2 linked regions of the Sus scrofa genome follow. The protein of the gene in region 1 interacts with the protein of each later gene in a pairwise test. Links are inferred from orthologs where the notes say so. Each region holds a gene or a part of one and is shown in the gene's direction. Other genes may lie near its edges.

Region 1 (4,243 bases):
TAGGAGTTGGAAGAGACTAAGAGGTTAGGCATTAACCCTCCCATTATGTCTGCGTTAATAGAGTCATGAGAGGCATCCAGCTGCCTGTTAGGCCTGACTCTTTAAATGGGACTGTTTAAAATAGTGATCAGTAGGAGTTCCCATTGTGGCTCAACAGGTTAAGAACCCAACTAGTATCCATGAGGATGCAGGTTCGATCCCTGGCCCCTCTCATGGGTTAAAGATCTGGCATTGCTGCAAGCTGTCACAAATGAGGCTTGGATCTAGAGTGGCTGTGGCTGTGGCTGTGGCTGATTCAGCCCCTAGCTTGCGAACTTCCATATGCTGCAGGTGGTGCCCTAAAAAGAAAGAAAAAAAAAATTAGTGATCAGAAAGGTGAATTGGTGAATGATGGCACAAATATTTTTTGAAATTTAAATCTCGTTCTGATAAATGTGTATGGAAATTCGACCTTTTCATTTGACTGGCAGTTCTTCCCTGGAGCAGGAGAGCATCTAGGATGGATTTTAGAGCTGAGTTACCACATCCAAATGGGGCACAATGAGAACTCGGAGGCAGCTTGTCATACAAGCAGGTTGGGAACAGAGATCACAGAACCAGGAGGAAAGTCATCTCAAAAGACTTCCTGAACGAGGGCCGGCGTCTCTGGTCTGGAGGTGCCAGGAGCAGGAAAGGTAGCTGACTTGGGACAGACAAACACTGGACAGTTTGCAGTTTCACACTGGGGATTCTAGGGAAAATTGAGAGGTGGTCATAAAGACAGTGCTACAGACTGAGAGCAGGAGTATCTTACTGGAACCAGCGGCCCCTGTTGCTCCAGTGAGACGACACATGGACACATTCTCAAATCTATGGGGTCTGCTGGTGCCAGTCAGGAAAGACTGCAACCTGGATTTTTAGTGCTAATGACTTTTTTTGTTCTAAAACTTAGAGATTTTATGTTAATGTGGGGGTACATTGTTTTCTTTTTCAGGGGAAGTCCAAAACAATACCCTGCTTTAATCCTAACACTTTATTACCAGGTAAGCGTTCATCTGGCTGCGTAAGATGAATTTGAACTGTGAAGATGACTGCTTTGTTACCCTCAGGATATATACAGCTATATCTTATTAGCTAATAAAGTGTCTCTACTATTGATATTCTCTGTATCTGGCACCAATTTCAGATTTCTCTAAACCTGGCAGTAAACCTTTTGATATAATAAATACTTTGCCACTAGCTCCATTGTGTTGTGTTTGTATTTTCAAAAGTGTTTCCTTTGTATTTTCATTTGTGCAAGTGATGACCTCTGTGTAAAGCACGAGTATAATAACTTAACCTTGTTGTGCATCTAAGATTGGCCAGCGAAGTTCTTACTAATCTCTGGCATGAAATAAACTTTATATCTAATTTTAAAAGATAACCTCTTTGCAGTCATGCTCTTTAGCTCTTATTCTAAATACTTAGGTATGTCCGAACAGGTAAGAGGTATGTACAAAATACTCAGAGTATACTTTTTAGATAGAGGTTGTTTTGGATAAAATTATGATCTTCACACTTCTCTGCTTAAATTATGTGAAAATTGTTAGGGTTCCAAACGAAACCGAATGCATTATATCTTCTCCTTTTTACATTTAATTGCTCTACAATGAACCAGTTTTTGCCATATGTTGAATATTTGCCCATCATGTTTAATCACAAATTCCTCTCACGGAGAGCTAAAAGGTTTCATAAGAATGATTTCTTTTATTCTATTATAATATGATTTTAATGTTTCTCTGTTGAGGAAGAATATAGAGGTAGTTAGACCAGAATGGTTATACACGTAGATTCTTTTTTTTTTTTGTCTCTTGTTTTTATTTAAAAAATTAGACATAGGATTTAGCATTCTTAAAAGACCCAAAGGCTCTAATTATCACACCCAGGAAGAATTCACACAATCTCTTACTTTAAATTCCAGAAGTTACAGATTATTGAGTTGTTGTTCTTGTTGCATTTTACAGGGATATTTATTTTAACTCAACTTTTTCAAAGGTCATTTAAATACACAGACTCTGAAACCAGACTGCTTTGGTTAGCCCAGAGGTCTTGGGCATATAACATAATCCTCTGTGAGTCAGTTTCCCCATCAGAGAAATGGGGCTAATAAAAGGACCGATCTCACTAATTAATGTAAAATGTTTAGAAGAGCATTTCACATGTAGTAAACATTCAGTAAATATTAGGTACAATCAGTCAGGTAAATCCTCCAATAAGGTAAAAAACCCCCCAAACTGTGGATATACTTCTCCTCAAGTGAGCAAACTTGATATATAAAATATACATCAAGTGTGTATATATATCACATAGTATATCAAGTTTATGTATATTCCGTTTGTATAGTCATAGTTAAGCGTGTATATAATTAATTGATAGAAATCACTGTAAATAATAGAAAGAGCATTCACCATGTTTTCTACTGATTATTTTCTCCTTATGATCAGTTTAAAAATACATATGCGAGGTTCTAGTTTAAAAATGGCATCAGCCTGTTATTTGGACAGTTTGTAATTTTGAGAATGGTTGGAATCTTCAAAATTTTTTTCAATTACCTTGCCTTCCCATGACATACCCTGTGGTTGGTTTGCACAGATCCTCTGCTGCGGGATTACTGGGTTTACGAAGGCTCCCTCACTATCCCGCCTTGCAGTGAAGGTGTGACCTGGATATTATTCCGATACCCTTTGACGATATCCCAGCTACAGGTGAGTGCAGTGCGTTCTTCCAGAAGGAAGGTCAAATGTCGTTTCTGGGAAGGGGCAGCATCTGCTTATGCTCAGGCTCCCTTTGGGTCAGTTAGAGCAGTCACACCTTTTCAGATGAAAGTCCAGTGCCTTGAACCAGTGAAAGCAATTTGAAAGGTCAAGGATGAACAAAACCCAGTAAATAGCCAATAATACCCAATCTGTGGTGTTAGAAGTCAGTTTTTATAGAGTAAATAGAAGTCACTGAAACAGTCAGACTTCTGATTCGTCTAGTTTTTCCTTTATATGGATTTTCCCAGGCATTGGAGAGGAGAAATGGAGGTAAAGTGAGAATGCCAGTTATTTCTGCAAGCCACACTCGAGCTTTGTAATAGTTCTTCCTTGGCTTACACAGGAAGGTTCTGTATGCAGAGGGTGAGGGAGAACTTCTGGAATGCCCTGGAAAGTTCTGGATTTGCCTTACATGTGGGCCTGTAGCCAGCCGGAAGGGGTGTGAAAGAACTCAAGGGGGATTTTTTTTTCTTTTCTCTTATGGTTTATTACTAGATATTGAACATAGTTCCTTGTGCTATGCAGTAGGACCTTGTTTATCCTTCTATATATAATAGTTTGTATCTGCTAGTTCCAAACTTCCAGTCCAATGCTCTCGTGCCCTCCCCACTCCAAAAAAAAAGGTCCCACAAGTCTATTCTCTATGTCTGTGAGTCTGCAGGTGGTGTACAATCTTAGATGACTAAGCATTCCCAAAGCACTGAGTTTTAATGTACAATATGTTTTATGATGCTGGAGATACATTTCCTGGCCTTTAAATGTCATTGACTCTGTTAATACACAGTATTTACTGGATATAATAACAATCTATGTCGTAGTCCTATTTTTTTTTTTTTTTAATCCTTGACGTGGGCTAATGTTAACATGTGATATTACTCCTTTGAGACTGAGCTGGTAATTTATTATTTCATGCATTGATTCATTTGGTGATTACTTGACATTTAGTATGTATAAGATACCATAGTAGGCATTGATGGTGGAGAACAAATAAGACGTACCCCTGACCTCCTAGAATTCACCGTGGGGGGGGGAAGGCAATAGGTTCACATTTAAAACCCAATAATTTCATGAGGACAGTGCCTTGGTATGGCATGCGCAGCCTGGGATCACATAGGAAAGGCACCTGGATGAGATTCAGCCATTTGGTAGACCTTTCCCAACCAGGCAAAGGGATGTGGCATGGGCGTTTGTGGGCATTGCCAGCAAGGGGAGAAATGTCTGCAGAGGCAGGAGGCAAGAGAAAGCACAGTGCCTTTGGGGATGCCCACTGCCAGTGTAAACAGCCAGTGACATGAAACGAAGCTGGAGAAGGGGGGCACGGGTTTGACCTGCAGCAAAGGGCTTTGGTGCTGTGCTGGGGAGGGTGACAGCAAGGAGCCACTGGAATGTAGTGAGAAAGAAAAAGCGTGACCAAAACGGTGCAGAGATGTGCTAAGATTGTGGCAGAGGCATGAGAGGAAGGTAATGGC
Region 2 (4,243 bases), on another chromosome or scaffold:
AAACTAATTTGTAGCTATGTATCTATATTTAATAAAACAATTTTTTTTTTTTTTTTTTTTTGCTACAAAACGAGTAGGAAAATTCAGAGAGAACTGGGTACTAGATATGCATGAATATAATGGGTATTCTTGTTGGATACTGTATAGCACAACCTTGACCTTTGAGACTTTTCCATTTAAGATTGCAGCCTCTTCTGTTAAACCTCTTCTGTAAAAGAGTTCGGTTTTGTCAAAGCAACTAATATTTGGGAGCTATATTAGTTAATACTGTTGTCTAGGGAAATCTTATAATAATGGAGATTTAAGCAAGATAGACATTCTCTCCCTTATTAAAGTCTGGAGGAGGCCTTTTGGGACTGGTCAGTGTCAGGATCTAGGCTGAGTTTGCATTGTTCATCAACATGTATCTGCTTGAGCAGAATTTAGTCATATGGTCTTACCCGCCTGCAGGAAAAGCAGAGAAATTCATTCGGTCTTGATTCTTAGGGTCCATGCTCCCAACTAAATCTTGGGGATTCTATTACTAAGGAATAGCAGGACAGATAATAGAAGACAACTGTCAAGTCAAATCACTATAACCTAACCATATAGGTGCTGCATATTATACATTTTAAAGAAATGATTTTGGGGAGTTCTCTTGTGGTGCAGCCAGGTTAAGGATCCGGCATTGTGACTGCTGCAGCTCCAGTTACTTCTGTGGCACAGATTCAGTCCCTGGCCTAGGAACTTCCACATGCCACAGGCACAGTCCAAAAAAAAAAAAGTGATTTTACAGTATGTTTATTTAAAAAAATAAAAGGCTGGAGTTCCCGTCGTGGCGCAGTGGTTAATGAATCCGACTAGGAACCATGAGGTTGCGGATTCAGTCCCTGCCCTTGCTCAGTGGGTTAACGATCCGGCGTTGCTGTGAGCTGTTGTGTAGGTTGCAGACGCGGCTCGGATCCCGCGTTGCTGTGGCCCTGTGTAGGCCGGTGGCTACAGCTCCGATTGGAACCCTAGTCTGGGAATCTCTACCTGCCGCGGGAGCGGCCCAAGAAATAGCAAAAAGACAAAAAAATAAAATAAAATAAATAAATAAATAAAAGGCCAAAAATAAAAGGGTGTAATAGACCCCCCCAAAAGCATTGTGACTTGTTTTAGCTTATAGATTTTTCAGTGAGTTTTTGCCCCTACACTGTTCACATGCCTACAGCTCCCTCCATTATTATTTCAGTGACTATGGAATGATTCTTAACAATAGTGGGGAGGTCAGTGATTCTAAGGGTTTTTTTTTTAATATATATATAATTTTTATTTTTTCCATTATACCTAGTTTACAGTGTTCTGTCAATTTTCTACTGTACAGCAAGGTGACCCAGTTACACATACATGGATATATTCTTTTTCTCACTTATCATGCTCCATCATAAGTGATTAGATAATTTCCAGTGCATTGCCTATCCATTCCAAAGGCAATAGTTTGCATCTATCAATCCCAAATTCCCTAGTGATCCCACTCCCCCCACACCTTGGCAACCACAAAGAAAATCTAACGTTTTTTTAAAGTCTAAAAAAGCCTCTCTTTTTCCCATCCTTTTCCTCCTCCCTGTCCTGATTTTTTTGTTTGTTGTGTTTTCTTTTTAGGGATGCACCCACAGCACATGGAACTTTCCAGGCTAGGGGTCGAATCGGAGCTGTAGCTGCTGGCCACAGCAACACCAGATCTGAGCCACATCTGTGGCCTAAACCTTAGCTCGTGGTAAACCTTAGCTCATGGCAATGCCAGATCCCCAACTCACTAAGCGAGGCCAGGGATCGAACCCTCAACTTCATGGTTCCTAGTTGGATCTGTTTCCGCTGTGCCACCACAGGAACTCCATCCCTGTCCTGATTAAGAATGACCAATTATGAATTTCAAAGGTCTGCTGAACTGAACACAGCCAACGGGAGAAAGTATGGTAAATCTCAGTGGTGTGGGTTTCAAAGGAGCAGTGCAAGAGAAAGAGAAAATGATTGAATAACAATAGTGTAGGGCAGGAACACAGACCTCACTTTCAGCCATGGTTTCTCCAACTTCACTAATATTTTGATTTTGAAAATGAAATGAAAGACACATTAGTCTGGGGATATGCAAAAGATATCAGAACAATTAATTCAGTGGCTGTATATGGACCTGCATAGGAATGGAATGATGGATTCCTTCACTCTTAACCACTATGTCCTTTCTAATTTCCACGCTAAGATCTTGTGAAGCCCCGTGTAACTTTTATCATAACACTAGAAGAGAATATTTAAGTGTTCATTCCTAGAGCCAAATAGATTGAGTTCCCAAGGAAGATTTATAGCCAGATGACCTTGAAAAGATATAGTTAATGGAATCCATTGCAAAAAAGGATTAAAGATGATGTATTTCAGTAAAGAAATGAATGGATTTTAAAGGAATGGAAATGGAAAAAGTGAAAAAAAATATATAACTAGTTCTGCCTTCATGTTGTGTCTTTGATTTATTGACTAGATCTGATTCTGATTGTTTTTATTCTCAGAGAGAACTGAAGTACCTGTCCTCAAAAAGAGGCGTGAGGTGCTGCCTGTGGATATAACCACCCCTAAGGATGCTTGTGCCAACAGTGCTGTTGGGGAAGGCGTTTATAGATTATCACCTCAGAAAGAGGAGGCACCGGCCTGTCCTAACAGTTTAGAAGATAACAGCTCGCAGTTAGAAAAGACAGTTTCTATAAGCACATCAGGAGTCATTCTCTCTCCTCACAAAAATCTTCCCATGGATATTCAACCAAAGAAGGAAAAGAAATGTGTGAAACTTATAGGAGTTTCAAATGACTCTGAAGCCCTAAGTGAAAGAAGTGGAAACATCCCTAACTCTCCCAGGTCAGTGTCCTCTTTCCTTCAAGGCAGCGAGCAGACCTCTCCATCTCTTCTCTATCGCTGCATGAACTGTGCTATCTGTTTCTTTATCTATTTTCTTAGTATTGCATGTAGTATAATTCCCCGATTTCATCTGCCTGCCTTCCGATTTGCTAAAACATTAAGAAAAACTAAAATGATTGTAAAGGGAAAGGACTCCTGAATGAGGGAGTTATTTTTAAGTAACACTTTTCTGTGTCAGGAAGCAGAAATAACACAGTATAGTACATCTCTGAATGTTTTGTTGGTTTGAATAAATATACAGGGTTTTTTTTCTTTTTTTCTTTCTTTTTTTTTGTCTTTTTGTCCTTTTTAGGGCCTCAGCCACCACATGTGGAGGTTCCCAGGCTAGGGGTCTAATCAAAGCTATAGCCGCCAGCCTACACCAGAGCCACAGCAACGCTAGATTCGAGCCTAGTCTGCGACCTACACCACAACTCATGGCAATGCCGGATCCTTAACCCACTGAGCAAGGCCAGGGCTTGAACCCACAACCTCACAGTTCCTAGTCGGATTCGTTTCTGCTGCACCATGACGGGAACTCCACAGTTATTTTTTTTTCTGGTTCAAGAAGAGCTTGAAAGAAAAATTAGCTTACCTCCTACAAGGGTTTTCCATTAGTCTGAGAAGTTTCAGCCTTCCATAAAATTTTTAGGTGACATTTTTTATGGCTTTCAAAATTGTTTATCCTAAGCCTTTAAGAATGGGCTTTAATACCTGATTTGACATTTTTAAATATCAGAAGTAATTCATTTTCAATGTTTCTTTAATCTCTGTTGTGCAGCAAAGTGACCCAGTCACACACAGTTCCCTATGCTGTACAGTTGGACCCCATTGTAAATCAACTATACTTCAATAAAAAAAATTTTCAAAAAGTAATTCATTTTCAGTTTACATCCAAACTTTAAAGCCTCTAGTTTCTGCATATTTGAATCTGTGACTAAAAGAGGAAGTGTCAGACATGTGTGTCTGTAGGAACTAATGTTTTAAGGGCCTTACCCTTTAAGAAAAAGTTAAAATAATAGAGAACAGAAGGTGAGAGAAAGTGAGTGGAAGGGAAAGGTAGGTACAATGGCTGAGGTTAGGGTGGAGTAAGAAACACATTCTGGATATGTTTAGCAGGACCAAGAGTGGGCAAAAAAGTGAATGAGGAAAATGGAGAAGGTTAAAAAAAAGATGACAAAAAAATGAAGGATGTCTTTATGCAATGGAATGATAGATGTAATTAAAATAGAAATTTAAAAAATTAAACGTATCGCTGTGAAAATAGTTAGCTATGGATTGTCCACTATGAAAGGAGATCTTTAAGGTGCTGCTAGGGCTACATCAGTCTTAGGTAGAG

The links. The genes of interacting proteins can lie anywhere in the genome.
Region 2: the proteins of CA8 (region 1) and SPDL1 interact in binary tests that used the Homo sapiens proteins (3 or more experiments, as listed by UniProt). The two-hybrid records come from large-scale screens. The link is inferred for Sus scrofa from reciprocal best matches to the Homo sapiens genes CA8 and SPDL1.

The regions. Positions count from the first base shown.
Region 1 is NC_010446.5:73,109,949-73,114,191, forward strand, and holds part of CA8 (carbonic anhydrase-related protein), read left to right. Parts: intron 1-973; coding exon 974-1,022; intron 1,023-2,610; coding exon 2,611-2,723; intron 2,724-4,243. UniProt on the Homo sapiens protein: Does not have a carbonic anhydrase catalytic activity.
Region 2 is NC_010458.4:54,278,918-54,283,160, reverse strand, and holds the end of SPDL1 (protein Spindly), read left to right. Parts: intron 1-2,522; coding exon 2,523-3,064; 3' UTR 3,065-3,239; downstream 3,240-4,243. UniProt on the Homo sapiens protein: Required for the localization of dynein and dynactin to the mitotic kintochore.